Linked DNA regions of Danio rerio. The protein of the gene in region 3 binds, or shares a complex with, the protein of the main gene of each other region. Links are inferred from orthologs where the notes say so. Each region holds a gene or a part of one and is shown on either strand. Other genes may lie near its edges.

Region 1 (5,590 bases), on a different chromosome or scaffold from region 3:
TGTAGAGCAGTGTGTCATTCCACCCCTTTAGAAAGAGGCTCAGAGTGGCAAACTGATCTCAGATCAGCATTTGTTTACAATCACCGCAGACATGGGAGAAATCTGATACGGGATAAATTGTCCCACTGTGAGATGCATCATGATATCAAGTCATCAGCCAGTCTGGACAGACATTATCTAAAAATAATGACACTTCAAAACGGCATGTGGTGCAACCACTAGAAAGTTTTTCTAATAATCTTGCACCTTGAATAATAATATAGTGGTATTGTCTAAAGTTTGATATTTTCCACAATATTTCAATATTTAATGCGATCCTGTTTTCATTTAATTATTCATTTTCTTTCCGGCTTAGTCCTTTTATTAATTAGGGGTCACCACAGCGGAATGAACTGCCAACTTATCCAACATATTTTTTACACAGTAGATGCCCTTGCAGCCGCAACCCAACACTGGGAAACACCCATACACTCTTGCATTCACACACATACACAACGGCCAATTTAGCTTGCTCAATTTACCTATACTGCATGTGTTTAAACTGTAGGAGAAACCGGAGCACCCAGAGGAAACCCACGCCAACACGGAGAGAACATGCAAACTCGACACTGAAACGCCAACTGACCTAGCCGGGGCTCGAACCAGCGACCTTCTTGCTGTGAGGCAATCATGCTACCCACCGCCACCGTGACACTCTCTGTACTTTTTAATATGTTTAACTTGATTGATTAGTTTTACATTTTCTGTTAATTTATTCTGAATTCAAATTAATTTTTAATTATCAAGTTTTATGGTGTTGGGTAATTGCATTTTAATATATTTTGCAGAAAAAAAATGAACAGGCAAGACTAGCAAAATGAGCATTACTTCCCAGACCATGAATCTTTTTACATTTTCCTTACTTTAAGACTTCTAAAACTGCCATCTCTTGTAACTTTCATCTCTAAGTGGTCCAACTCTGCTGACATTACCAATAAAACTGTTTTCTCAGCTGAAGAATAAGAGGCTTATTCCATCAATCAATACAACAGCGTTGAAAGGTATTCTTATTACATATTACCTCCAGAGAGAGAGCTGCCAGGGCACAGACTGTTAGTGAGGTCACCACAGGACTGAGTGTATCTTAATGTAAAAATCAATGAGGATTAATGAGTGAATCTGTTGTGCGCTGCATTAACTGTGCCTAAGGTTATGAACAAGCCATGCTCGTGATTAGAAACACTATACAATAATAACAGTCTGCACAAATAAACAGCTCCATACAACTGCCTTGAAGACCCACAGGTGCTTGTTGTATGAACAAAAGCGTACAAACTCTTGAACCACACGTAATCCACTTCAAGCAGAGCTTAATGCATTTCATATCAATAATTCATACTGTAGTCCAAAGCACTGGGAGTTTGAGATCATCTGTGTGCTGATGTGAAAAATAAAAGACGTTTTTTCGTTGTTGTTTCGCAAACTCACAGAAACACAGATGGCATGTGTTGCCAAAAAAACATTTTCATAATTAAGGCTGGTTACAACAGAAAACTCCCAGACAGCATGATAGATTATAAACAGCGAAACTCAACACCAGAATGTATATGAGGAGTATGTGTGTGTGTGTGAGGGAGAAAGCTGGATCTGGGCCCGGTGGTGCTCTGGGAATGCAGTCCGAGTTGATTGGCTGGTTTCCTGATATTGTCTGAAGTCATTTGGTGAAATAGGCAGAAGCATAGAGAGAGGGAAAGCAGCATAACTCAAACCATGTGATGAGGCAGAGCCCTGTGGGGAGTCACCACTGCTTTAGCACAAAGGACGGTCTGTAGTGCCTTTACCTGCAAATTATGCTCACTCGTCAACTTCTCATAAAGGATTAAAGCGGAATACATCACCAATGGGTGTAGAAATGTGAAGAACGGCTTTACGTGTGAATTTATTTAGGAAATTGTACTTTAAAATGTATCAAAGACTGTACAAAAGAGTGTTCAACATTATCTGACCTTCTGTCAAAAGTTTTTTTTTTTCAGTTCAGCTAAATGTAACCTGGGGTGAAATGTTATCCAATGCCCTTGAATAGAGATTCATTCATTATCAAGTGCGAAATGCTTTACAAGAAGTGCAAAACAAGGCTGCAAATGTATGAAAAAATGCATAAGTAATGCCACATTTTAAAAACAAATGAAAAAAATGCAGAAACTACTGCAAGTCCACCATGTTTCAACAAATGAATAAACAAATAAATAAATAATCTATAGTGAATAAAAAATAAAATATTTATAATTAGGTAAAATGAGAAAATCAGATATTTATTATAATAAATCACTTACTGTAGTAATAACTCAGCTTACTGTATTTGTTGCAATAAATAAACAATAGAAAAAAAATTATTATTTATACAGACACAAATAATAATTTTAGCATATATTATGTTGGTGTGGTAATGATTATGTACAGTTTGCAAATTAGAAATAAAACAATAAATAAAATATACATACTTTTCTTACTGTATTGATCAAAAGAACTAAAATATTTATCACAAATAATTGTTTATCTATTCATATCATATTATGTTATTGGACATGAAAAATAATAACAACTACACCTCCTATCACCCCCACTAACATAACAAATAAAAATACAGAATTAAAAGATAAACTAAATAAAAATGTAGTTATAAAAGTAAAAGTAATAAAAGTAAAGGAAAACACATTATGAAATAACACAAATTAAGAAATTTTAAAATAAAAGCATGCTTCTTAACAACCACTAGCCCTATGCAGTCACATGCAAACATGAATAAATATTTTTATAAATACAGGCCTATTAGCCAACAAACCAAGTCGCCAAGCCTATATTTAGTGAACATGTGAAAATAAATAAATAAATAAATAAATAAATAAATAAATAAATAAATAAATAATACCCGGCTAATTTTAGGAAACAGTTCCTCAATGGCTTGTTTACATGAAATGCATCACACAAACCAAACAAAAGTGAAGGGGAATCGCTCTGCTTACCTTGCCTCACAGTTTTTAACCTTATAGGTCCTTTGCAGTTCTTGATCACTGTCAGCACATCATACAGCGGCAATCCAGAGACAGAAAGCGTCTCCACTTCCAGCAGTAATTCCCCCTCGGACACTTTCCCATTTCTATACTGTACGGCGGTCTCGTTAACGTGTCCGATATAGGCGAACTCTCCGTTCTCCGCGCCACCGAGCAGCTGCACGTTCAGCTCGCCACGGGCGTCCTTGGAGACCGAGCACTCGTTAACTTTGGTGGTCCAGTGATTCTTCTTCTGTACCACTTTGGACATGATGAATCAATAAAATCCGCACAGAAACAGGTGGCTCCGCTGACAGACGACAAAACGAAACACTTTCATAAAATGAAATATCCCACGCGGTAAACTTTCTTCTCCGTCCGCTCAGTCATGAATGCAGCGTCTTCGCAGCCCCAAAAGATCCAAGAAAAAGCTCAACAAAAACAAAATCAAGCCATTGTCCGGCTCTTCACTAAATGAAATTCCCACTCCGACCGCTTCCTTAATTAGCCCGTATTGTTTTCCTCATCCTCGCGCTTTAATATTCTCGGTTGCGCGCATCTGCTTGCCTTTTCATTTCATAAACCTCTTTAAATACACTTCTTCAAGTCTGAAGTTGTTTTCAAAATAGTTTAGCGGTTTCTTAAACACTTAAAGTACCATTCCAGCAGTTTTCTTTGGCACACAGGCAGTGTTAGCGAGCGTTTCCTCCTGGTTCACGGCTCCTTTAAACAGGTACAGCGTTTGACGTCTGTTTTGATACATTTCATCCTGTTCTGCCTGCTCGCGACTCGGGATGGAGCGAATGTCACTGGAGCGCATGCGCATTATTTCCCTTCGGACTCCTGAAGGCAATCCTCACTGCGCACGTCACCAGGTCCTAAAGCCCGTCACGAAAGAAATCATATTTACGAACCTAAGCCGATTTCTGGAAACTCTTGATTAAATGTCTCTCCCCATATAAATCTTCAAAGGCCCTCCAAGTAAATAAATTTAAACATACTCCATGAATAATCGCACCTGGACTTTATACAAGGCTATTATCAGCATCTAAAACTGGTTAATGACATTAATTGAAAACATATCCAGATTCAAGGTGTGAGCTGAAAATCATGAAAGATTTTTGGTTTTTTTTTTTGTGAAACTTGCTGTTTAAAAAGATAAATATTCGTTCCTCAATTTGTTGCACAACCAGTTTTGTCTGTTTGCCCAGACTGTTGCTTTGTGAAGAAATTTAGCCTGGCGTAAGCGTTCATCCCACATGAATCCTTGTCAGTCATGTTCGACCTGCCTATCATGTTTGATGTCCGAAAAAATTTCTTATTTTCCAAACTCTTACCAAAATAAATCATGATTCATTACAAATAGAATTTCCATTTGTCTATTGTCTATTTGAAGATTATTTACTAAATTCTTGGTTTTATCCTCTTGAAGATTCTTACTGGAATGAGGGTTCATTTAAATTATACAGTCAACATTTAAAGTGAATCAAAACAATTTCAAAATTGTCCTAAAACTATGAACCCTTTTCAGATTTTCGAGTTTCTCAGTAGCAGAAGTCTTAGTGGATAAACTTAGAGCACAGTGAATGGGAGTGTACAACAATTTTTTTATATATACAATCCTATTTGCTAAAATAATATAAAAATTGGCAATGATGTTTTCAAGACTTTCAGAAAATAGAAAAAAAAACTATGTGATAATGACAGACAGAAGAGAAAGCATCAAATTTGCTGTTCTGCCTATACACTATACACTGCATTTCAAACATCTGCATAAGCGGTAATTCCTATTTTATCATTTGATGCAAAGATGATAGAAAACATACATAAATAAATATAAATGTTAATATGCTTTTTTTATTAAAATATTAAAAACTTTCAAGTATTTAAGATGCTGATGACCATTAAAGACATTATAACACTGAGTTCCTTTACATGGCCACCAGTAATCAAATTTTGATATGATTAAGACAAAACTCTGATTAAGAGTTTACCATGTAAACAGAGGATTTTTCACCATGTTTTTCGGCAGTATATTCTATACACACAAAGCTGTATGACACTATTCTCCACATCTATTGAGTCAATAAAGGACTACAGACACACATCCCACGAAATGCAAAGGTTTTTTTTTCTCTCATTCGGCATGCGGTATCCAATTTCATTAAAACTTCCAACATTCTTTAATTCATAAACACATCCAATACCTCAGTTTGTCACCGGGGGCATGAATGAAATGTTTCTGAATGAAACTGAAACTGCCTAACTACAGTAAAAGCCGAAATATTAAAAATGAAACATCTGAAATTACATGAAACTCCAGAGGAAACGTGGATAGCATGATGATGCAACAACGTTTATCGATCTTTGTGCTGTAACATGTAAGACAGGATCATAAAAGGAACATTCACAAAGTAACTCGTGTAAACACCTTAATCATATTATTGCTTATTCAGATTAAGGTAAATAATTGGATTACTGATGTCCATGTGAACATAGTCAGTCTTGATAAAAGAGTCTATTGTTTGATCTGGATCCACTTCAAATTTGAACTATTGTAT
Region 2 (5,639 bases), on a different chromosome or scaffold from region 3:
ATTATGGGCAACAGAACTTCGGGAAAGATCAAAAGCAGAACAGAAAGAGATAAAAAAAAAAAAACAACATATACATGCTTATGGCCATAAAACCAGATTACGGTATAGAAAAGAGGATTACTTCGAAACATCACAATACAAGGCTTAAGCTTCTGAAATTGAAAAACAACAATAAACTGATCATTAAATTGAACTTATTATACAGAAACACATTTTTCGACTCTACAAAAAGTTATGTTTTGCATATCAGAATAGAAAGGGAAAAATATATAAAAGTATATGAAGAGTTTATGAAGAGTACATTAAAATATAAAAAGTTCATTAGCAAAAATAGAAAAGTATTTTTCATAAATATAAAAGATGATTTTTGAAAATTAATAAAAACAGAGGTATCTGTTTTTTTTTTTTTTGGCAAATTAACTCTTTATATTTACTTATAACCTAAAGTGAGAGGACAAGACAAACTTTATGTTTAGATAAAATGATTTTATTTGGAAAACACAATTAAAGGACAATGAATCATCAAAAAAGGGTTGTTCAAACAATAAGAACACTTAATACGATATTTATAAAACTGAAAAACAACAAGCTGCTAAACACATTAATCATAAAACAAAGCTTTTTACTATTAAAGAATTAAATTGTTAAAATAGAAAAGGAAAACAACTAAACATTTGAAGAATCCATTTGCAAAAACCTTTGCAACAAAAAAATGAATAAAAACTGAGTTCTGTTTTTGCATATAAACTCGTATAGCTTGCTTATGGCCTGAAAAAAAATTTATGTATTGAGAACAGACTGAAAGGACTGAATAAAACATTAAATAAAAGAATAAACAGCCTGATCTCACGAGAAAACGTAAGTATTTTAGGTTTTGTGAGTTTAGTGGCTAATTCAAACGGATTCGTACGAGTTCAGTAATACGAAATTGTGTGATTTTAAAAAGGAGGCGTGGCACCCAACCCCTAAACCCAACCTTCATTGTGCGATGAGCAAATCATATGAAATTGTACAAATTAGATTCAAAAATCAAAAAGTTATGAATTGCCATGAGATTGTGTTGGAATAAACCTGTTTGGAAACAGTAAGATTTGTTAACATTTTATGTGTGCTAAGAATTATTATTTAGAACTTTATTTTTTTATCGAAGTATCCCCATATGTAAAATATATCACATTTTCTACAATACATGAAGACAAGAAAATTCATCACTAATAATTGTACGAAATCCTTATTAGTGATTGTGTACCAATAGCTGATCATAACAGAACAGCAAATCATCATATTATATCATATTTCCAAAGGATCATGTGACACTAAAGACAAGTAATGATGATGGAAAGTCAGCTTTGAATCACAGGAATAAATCTAATTTACAACTACAATCAATAAGGAAACAGTTTTTTTTTAATTGTAATATTATTTCACAATTATTACTGTGTTTTCCATCAAATAAATGCAGCCTTTGTGCACAGAATTGGCTACTTTAAATGATTACTTTGAAATGAAAATCATGAAAGGACAATAAAATACTGATAAAACAATAAATACACTTAATATAAATTCTAATATTAAGCTAAAATGGCATAAAACTAATTAATTATTACAGTAAAAGTTTATGCATGTTATAGCAGAAGTCGCAAGTGTAACACTATGAGTGTGTGTGTGTGTGTGAATATATTCACCCCTTTGTTCTGGACTTTAAATGTGTGTCTAGTGGAGTGAGAACAAGTTAAGAAGCTGATTGGTCAGATCCAGTGATTGACAGCACAGAATCTCAAATCTCCAAGCTCCTCCTTTTCAGACCTATAAATGGACTCTCATCTCCCTCTGCAGAATCGCCTCTTTCTGACAAACTCTCTGCTGGTAAGTCTAGTACGTTTTTATTTATCATTCCAATGTTTTTAAAGCTTATTTTGCTCCAAGCTTTTCCAAACTGAGGATGAAATTGCAAAAAAAAAAAAAAAAAAAACTACATAATGACTAGAAATGTGTTTGCAAAAGTGAAAGACAGAACGAAACTTAATGGTCTATAAAATTGCTCCGACACTTAAACTTGTTTGCAGACATTTGAGGGAAAAAGTTAAACAGCTTGAAATTGCTATCAAGCATTTTTCACATTTTTAGTAATTATTCCAGGAAACGTTGAGCGTCGCTGCAGCACATTAAGATGTCAGACTTAGAGAACTGCCTGGGAACCATCATTGAAGTCTTCCACAAATACTCGTCGAAAGAAGGAGACAAGTACAAATTAAAAAAGAGTGAACTCAAGGAGCTGCTCACGCATGAGTTTCCAACTCTCACTGAGGTAATTTTTTTTGTTTTTGATTCGAAAACTTGGGAATATGTGTTTTATAATAAAGTGATTGTCAGAACTGTGTAAAAAAATCTTTGTTTGCTAGTTATTGTGTTAAAAAGTGTAAAATTTATACTAATTTATTATGATCATGCCTAATGAACAACTCTGGAATTAATGTTTCTTTACAAAGTCGACCAGAAGGTAACAAATTACTGGTGTCAAATTGTAAAATTTATGGAAAGAAAATCACGTAATGACAATAATGAACTGATAATGTTCAAGTTATGTAGATTTAATGGTTGTGTTTTTTATTTTTTTTATATATATAAAAAGATATACCGAAGAATGTTGGGAGAAAAATGCTATTGACTTTCATAGTATGTTTTGTTCCTACTATCGATGTTAATGGCAATATTCCAACATTTTTCAAATTATCTTTAAGTTTCAGACTACTGTCAAGCTGTCAAACTATTCTTCAAGCTGTCAAACTATTTTTTAAGTTGTCAAACTATTCTTTAATTTGCCAAACTACTCTTCAAACTAACTTATAGTGTTCAACAGAAGACAAAAACTCATAAAAGTTTAGAACCACGCGAGTTAAATTGACATTTTTGGGTGATGTGTCCCTTTGAATATCCACTCATGCTTGATTTTTCAACTTTTATTAAGGTAAAGATATTTTTCACTGTACACTTTTTAAAAATTGTGTAAATAGAAGAAAAATGGGTGTCAAAATATTACATATTGACAGTTTACAACAGAAAAAAGTACACACATCTATACTTAAAGGGATATTTCACCCCCCCAAAAAATAATTTACTCTCTATTTACTCACCCTCAAGTTGTTCCAGACCTTTTATGAGACTCTTTATTCTGATGAACACAAAAGAAGACATCGTGAAGAATGCTGAAAACCTGTAACCATTGACTTCCACAGAATTTGCTTTTCCTACTATGGAAATCAATGGTTACGACTTTACAGTTTTCTTCAAAATACTTTTGTGTTTAATAGAGGAAAGAAACTCTAACCCTTAATTTGTGGGTGAAATATTCCTTTATTGAAAAATGACCTACAATTAATGTTTCTGTACAAGGTAGACAAATTATGAAAGCGAAACAAGATGAAGTACTGTACAAAGAATATTCAAGGAATGTTTTGGCAAATTTCGGAAGCACTAAATTAATCGAGTGTCTGCGTAGTTTCAGACTTGTATTGAGGTCAACGTTTTTGTTTTTTCACACTACACTGTCTTGAAATATTAGGAATGCTTGATTAGTTATCACAGCTTTATCCCAGCATTGTGTCAGTTGTGAAAAAATGATTTCTACTAGGCATAGGACAATAACTGGTTTGCCTTGGTTTGAAAAAGTCAAGGTTTTAAAACCGCTAAGATTTTCTGTTATACCGTTCCTAAGGTATATGTCAGGGTTGTTTAGTGTATTTTTTCTGTGTTTTTTAAAATTGAAGACTGCAGAAGTCAATGATTTATTTGAACTATTTAGCCTGACTTTTGCTTTTCCAAAATATTATAAATGTTTCCTAAAATAAAATATACTGTGTTCAGATTTTTAGTTTTACCCAAACATTTAAAATTAACTTATTTTAGAGCAGTTATCACAATACTGTGATACTGTAAAACCCTGGTATTTTTATCCTGTCAGAAACTTATACCGCCCCATGCCTAATATCTACACAGATTTATTGTGTTTGTGAATCTTTCCATGGTACTTAAATTTAGTGTATTTGTGGGTAATAAATGAGACCTTACAATGAATGTTTTCTCTCATAAAAAAACAGAAAGCCAAACTTTAAGAATTTTAAAATGAACATACAATAATAAAATATACAATAATAAACTCATGAAGTAAAGTGTGGGCGAACTGATAAAACATTACTTTTTTTTACTAAAACCTTTCTTTTTCCCAAACTATACTTAGTTTTGAAAAATTAGCAGCGCCTTGTTTGTAATTATGCCAAGTTGTTTGTCAGTTGGTTTGAAATTATGTGAATTGGTTTGTAATTATGCTGAAATTGTGTCAATTGCAAGTGTCTACAAACATTTGTTGTGTTTGTGACTGTTTCCAATGTACACAAATCTGGTCTGATCATGCTTAATGAACATTGAGGGTTTCTTCACATGATAAATACACAAGGTGAACAAATGTCAGAAAGTCAAAGTATTTTAAAATAAATAAAAAAAATATATATAAGAGTGAAATTGAGTGTGGACGAATGAAACATGGATCTAGGAGCTGCATAGCACACACATGTATATCTGACTTTTAATAAAGTATTTTTTTTCACACACATCTTCCTAAAAATTTTCAATCAAAGCTTTATTTTAGAATTAATAATAATAATAATAATAATACCTTTTATTTATAGGCACCTCTCAAAGCACTCAAGGACACCTTACAGTATATCGCAAGCATGTAATAAAAATATAAGCTGTAAAAAGCAATAGACAGGATAATAAAACAGCAGAACATTAAAAGCTATCCTAAACAAAAAAAGTTTATCTGAAATTAAAGATTGGAAATAGTATCCACTTGGCAAATGTGCAAAGGCAGAGAGTTACATAACTTTGAGAGAAGCTACGACTTTTTTAGCTAAGCCGAATTAGCCAAATTCGTGATTCTGAAGGTTACTCTCTTTTTGTCTCCCCTAGCAAGTGAAAGACCAAGCTACAATGGACAGTTTGATGGAAAGTTTGGACACCGATGGCGACTCGGAGTGTGATTTCCAGGAGTTCATGACCTTCGTCACCATGGTTACCATCTGTTGCCATGAGTTTTTCGAACACCATGAAGACGAATGAGTCTAAATAAAAGAAAGTAGTTTTCGTAGTTTAATGAGTCTCAATACATTTCTTCAGTAAACTTTACTTCGTTCTCATCGCATTAGGATTGTTTTATTGTTGTTGTTTGTTTGGACAGAATGTACATGCAGCTTGTCTGACAATTTAGCTTATTTCTGCTAGACTCGAAAATCAGTTCGTAATTTATTACAAAGCATGCTTCTATTATTTTGGCTAGACATTTGTTTCAAGACATGGCCATCATAAATCTCATCGAGTGGAATGCGGATCCAGGTGTTTTACTCTTGTCATTTCAATTCCAGGCTGATTGTGAAATGTTTTTTTTCTTTTGATTAGCTTCAGACTATTAGGCTGCTATTGACTTTTGTCAGATTGTTCCGGGGCCTTAGACAAATCACACTGTGCTTTAAAAAGACCCACCAAAGCGAATTATTCTTCTGAGCATCTTGTATGATGTTTATGACCATCCATAAATGATGTAGATTTGCAAATCAATCCCATACGAACTGTTAGAATGAATG
Region 3 (4,106 bases):
ATACACAATCATTAAATCTTTTTTTTGTTTCTCAGCGGTCATATTTATACATCTTGTGCTCTGTGTGCCTTTATAAAATAACTTCTCTTTAAGCAAAACAACAACAACAAAATCAAAACACACAGGAGACAGCAGTCAATATCCAGAAAAAGCACTGGTCTAAACAAGAGCAACATTTTTTTCATGCCAGAAGCTTTAGATGTCATCTCACATTCAGACTTTTTTTCTTGTTTGCTTTAATAAACACAAAAGGAGACATTTTCTGAACAGTCTTCACCAGTGCTGATACGTTCACGAAACGAAAGTGCTGAGTTGGGGGAAAACAAGACAGCATTGTACAAATCCATGCAGAGAGCACTTCCAGTATGATAGTCGTGTGAACATTCTCACCGGATCCTCATGGAAGATATTTTTTACTTTAGTCATTCATCTGGGTGAAATCTTATACTGGAACATCTTTATTTCTCCCGAGCTTTCAGAAAGAGGGCCTACAAAAGTGAACTACTGACAAAAAAAACAAAAAAAAAAGTTGAAAGGCTTTCAAAAAAGACATATTGTACACAAAACAACATGACAATCCAGATCGAACAAAATACAGAGATAAAAAAAATATAAGCAAATCAAACAAAAAACTGAGGATGAAAAAAAAAGTGTTGATATTTAGCAATTACAGTACCAAGACATAAATGCACTGGGAATATCATCTACTTTTTAACAGAATCCTTTACCTGCTTCTTTGAAATTGGACGCACAAAAAACTAAACAAATACAAACACATTTACTCCTAAGGGAGTCTGGAACCCTCACTGACCACGCCCCTCAAACTTCATCAGCCAATCAGCTCCCTTGCCTAGTGTGCTTGACAGCTTCCCTCCTGTGCTGATGTCATGGGCAGGTTCAAGTGACCGTCTTTAGTCTGTAGAGCTTCAGTGTGGTTTTTTTCATCCATCCATCTGTCCGTCCGTCTGTCCATCCATCCGGTCCACAACTGCATTCAGTCAGGAATACTTCTCCTCTTCTCTACAGAGAGGTGGAAGGGAGCTTTTTCACCCGTCTCTGAGCTAAGAATGAGGACTCGATTGGCTTCAGCTCAGGAGGTGGTTGGGAACTCTTCAGTGCCGAGTATGTCGCGGCCATCGCACCCTGTGCAGAGAGAGTAATCAAATAATACACCATCATTTATGGTAAAAAAAACAAGTCACTATAAAATGCGAAAGCAGTAAAGGCTCAATTATATTTGTGTTTGCAACGAACGTGCTGAGCAAAGTAGCCAATCACAAACATATCTTCTGTACTTTTGAGCAAAGCGGCCAATCAGAGGTGTTTTTACATTTTATACATTATTTGTTTTTGTATGAAAAGTTTTATGTGACTGAAACATCTCAAAGTGTTGATACAATGTAAATATTACATTTAATGTACAGTGTAAACAAAAAGATTATAACAAGGGTTTGTGATTTTTTTTGGCCGCTTTTTTATTTAGCAACAAAATAAATAAAGGTTGTGTCGGTACATTAGCTGGTTTAAGCCTTTCAGGATTGAATAAATAATAACTGCTTGTAGGCAGTGTTGGGAACATTCATTTTAAATATTAATTAGTTATAGTTACTACTTCTCACAAATAGTTAGTAACCGAGTTACATAATTATAACAGTAACTAATTACCAGAGGAAGTAACTATTGTGTTACTTTAAAAAGTCAATTTTTTCAAATGACTATAAAATAAAAATAAAACATTGGGTATCACTTTATTTTAATGGTCCCTTTAACACATTTTTGTGGATTTTTAAATAACATTGCATCTACATACCAACTAATTTTCATTAGACTATAAGTAGACTGTTAGGTTGGGGTTAGGGTTAGTGTCAGTGTAAGTTGACGTACTTGCAAAGTTTTTTATAGTCAGTTGAATGTCTGTTGAAGGAGCAGTATCAGCAGATATTAAGCAGACAGTCTACTAATACTCAAATGATAATTAGTTGGCTTGTAGTTGCAATGCAACTTTTAGTCAACAAAATGTGCAATAGAGACCATCAAATTAAACTCTTACCAAACACTGTTCACTAATCTACACTAGATATTATTTTGTTAAATTCTGTCTGAGTAATAAGTGTTTACGGTGGAGAATTTTAAGTTTTATTTGTTTTGACGTCACGGCTTCATCTCCTCCTTTGGTAGCAGAGTTCACATTATCTAATTTTGTGGCAGCATGTGACGCTGTGAGGTGCTTCATTAGATTAGAATTACTTGTCACCGATGCAGAGAGACTATATTTTTCTGGGCATAAGTTGCATGATACATAAACATTCCTGCCTTTCACCTCAACGAGGGAAAAGTGGTGTTTATATATCTAGTTTGCAAACGTTACCTTTAAACTTGCTGGATTTACCATTGTTCTGACTCCTGGTCATTGATGTGTGCGACTGACTGCGTGTGTTTGTGTGTGAACACCAGCACGACTCTGTCTCTGACTGACAAACAATGCAAATGTACTCTATCTTAGCCAATATTCAGGTTCTCAGACACATTTATCATCATCACCAGTTGGTTATGTGCCTCGCCCCAGCCCTGAACACACACACAGACACACCGCGCAGAAAAAGAGAGGTCCTATGGCTGGCTGAGAGACGCTGCTCGCATGAAAACTATGGTAACGGACATTTTATTGTCAGTAACGGTAACAGCGTTATAACGGGAGAAACAGTAGTTCATTTGATTACTCATTACTGGAAAAAAGTATCGCTGTTAGTAACGTAAGTTATTTATGGTGTCGTTATTCACATAACTGCCCATAGATCAAGAAAAGTCCCTGTCTTAAGATGGTTCCCCCGAAAATCGCCATCATCCTTGACTTGTTTCAAACCTTTTTGAGTTTTTTTTTTTTTTGTGCCTCAGAAACTTTGTCTCTCTCCATGGACATTTATACTGCCAGCCACATTACAAACAGCTCTTAAAGTCTAAAGGGAATCTGGAGGAGGGATTCGGTCAGAGTGAATTACGCAATCTTAAAAAAACACAAAACATTTTTTTAAAGAAATCTGAAAACCTGTAACCACTGACTTCAACAGTATTTGTTTTTCCTTTAATAGAAGTGAATGGTTACAGGTTTACAACTTACTTCAAAATATCTTCTTTTGTTCAACAGAAAAAAAGACACTCAAAGATTTGGAACAACTTGAGTGTTAATAAATGTTAAGTAAATGTTCATTTTTGAGTGAACTATCCCTTTACCAAGAGATTCAATGAATCATTCATTCAAATGATTTGTTTAAAAAAGCTGCTTCTTTTAGAAAGTAAACCTATGTAATGTAAATCCTTTGTCATAAAATGACAATTAATCAGTATTTTAGGGCTGCACTGTAATCCTTAAATAGAATATTTTACCATCAACCTTCCATGCTTGGCCCTTACATAATTACAGTTTTCTAGAGCACTCTACCCTAAGTTTAGAAGCACCCTCAAAAACTGATTTCTTTCTGGAACCGGGCATGCATGCTGCATATAAATAGTGCAAAATCCTCAAGGCGGGGATACCTTGACAAGCTTAGCATCCTGATGTTGTAGCTGGCTGTTGGGAAGTTTGTCTCTCTGAACGATCCATGGATGTTTCAGCACCTGCCTGGCTGTGAGCCGCTGGTGAGGGTCCACATGGAGCATCTTTGAGACCAAATCCTGTAGAGAAAAGCATGTGTGTGAGAAAACACCTCCCTTCAAAGCAGTCTGGATGAATGGGGATTGGCCTACTTTGGCAGCATCAGACACTGCGTCCCAGTTGCCACCCGTCAGAGTAAAGCGTCCACTCCCTATCCGGCTCAGGATCTCTTCTGGAGTGTCTTCTGGTCCATTGGCAAATGGCGTAAACCTGGAACAAGTAACAACCGAAAAGAAAGTGGTTGTGGATGTGTTGCAAAGATATTTACAAAAATGGAAGTGAATGAGCATCTTCTCACCCAGCAATCATAGTGTATAGTAATACGCCGAGACTCCAAATGTCACAGCCTTCATCATAGCCCTGTCTCTTCAGTACCTGCAAAAGGACAACAGTTGTTACTGAAAAAATTAAAAATCCACATCACACTGATCCCACAGAATCTGAAGTCATTTAG

Evidence for each region. Proteins that work in one complex are often made in the same cells at the same time.
Region 1: the proteins of rps6ka1 (region 3) and magi1b are in contact, whole or in part, in a crystal structure (PDB 5N7F), measured with the Homo sapiens proteins. The link is inferred for Danio rerio from reciprocal best matches to the Homo sapiens genes RPS6KA1 and MAGI1. Residues at the interface, in NP_002944.2 of Homo sapiens: Pro731, Ser732, Thr733, Thr734, Leu735; in NP_001028229.1 of Homo sapiens: Arg480, Gly481, Phe482, Gly483, Phe484, Thr485, Val486, Val487, Gly488, Asp490, Lys499, Ser500, His532, Val536, Phe539, Gln540.
Region 2: the proteins of rps6ka1 (region 3) and s100b are in contact, whole or in part, in a crystal structure (PDB 5CSJ), measured with the Homo sapiens proteins. The link is inferred for Danio rerio from reciprocal best matches to the Homo sapiens genes RPS6KA1 and S100B. Residues at the interface, in NP_002944.2 of Homo sapiens: Ala697, Met698, Ala699, Ala700, Thr701, Ser703; in NP_006263.1 of Homo sapiens: Ser42, His43, Phe44, Leu45, Glu46, Ile48, Val53, Val57, Ala84.

Annotation. Positions count from the first base shown.
Region 1 is NC_133186.1:20,964,477-20,970,066, reverse strand, and holds the start of magi1b (membrane-associated guanylate kinase, WW and PDZ domain-containing protein 1b), read right to left. Parts: upstream 3,806-5,590; 5' UTR 3,301-3,805; coding exon 3,003-3,300; intron 1-3,002. UniProt on the Homo sapiens protein: Plays a role in coupling actin fibers to cell junctions in endothelial cells, via its interaction with AMOTL2 and CDH5. May regulate acid-induced ASIC3 currents by modulating its expression at the cell surface.
Region 2 is NC_133197.1:13,546,926-13,552,564, reverse strand, and holds the start of s100b (protein S100-B), read left to right. Parts: upstream 1-1,834; 5' UTR 1,835-1,866; intron 1,867-2,139; 5' UTR 2,140-2,170; coding exon 2,171-2,308; intron 2,309-4,968; coding exon 4,969-5,118; 3' UTR 5,119-5,639. UniProt on the Homo sapiens protein: Small zinc- and- and calcium-binding protein that is highly expressed in astrocytes and constitutes one of the most abundant soluble proteins in brain.
Region 3 is NC_133192.1:28,645,389-28,649,494, reverse strand, and holds part of rps6ka1 (ribosomal protein S6 kinase alpha-1), read right to left. Parts: intron 4,028-4,106; coding exon 3,951-4,027; intron 3,863-3,950; coding exon 3,745-3,862; intron 3,673-3,744; coding exon 3,535-3,672; intron 1,144-3,534; coding exon 1,021-1,143; 3' UTR 1-1,020. UniProt on the Homo sapiens protein: Serine/threonine-protein kinase that acts downstream of ERK (MAPK1/ERK2 and MAPK3/ERK1) signaling and mediates mitogenic and stress-induced activation of the transcription factors CREB1, ETV1/ER81 and NR4A1/NUR77, regulates translation through RPS6 and EIF4B phosphorylation, and mediates cellular proliferation, survival, and differentiation by modulating mTOR signaling and repressing pro-apoptotic function of BAD and DAPK1.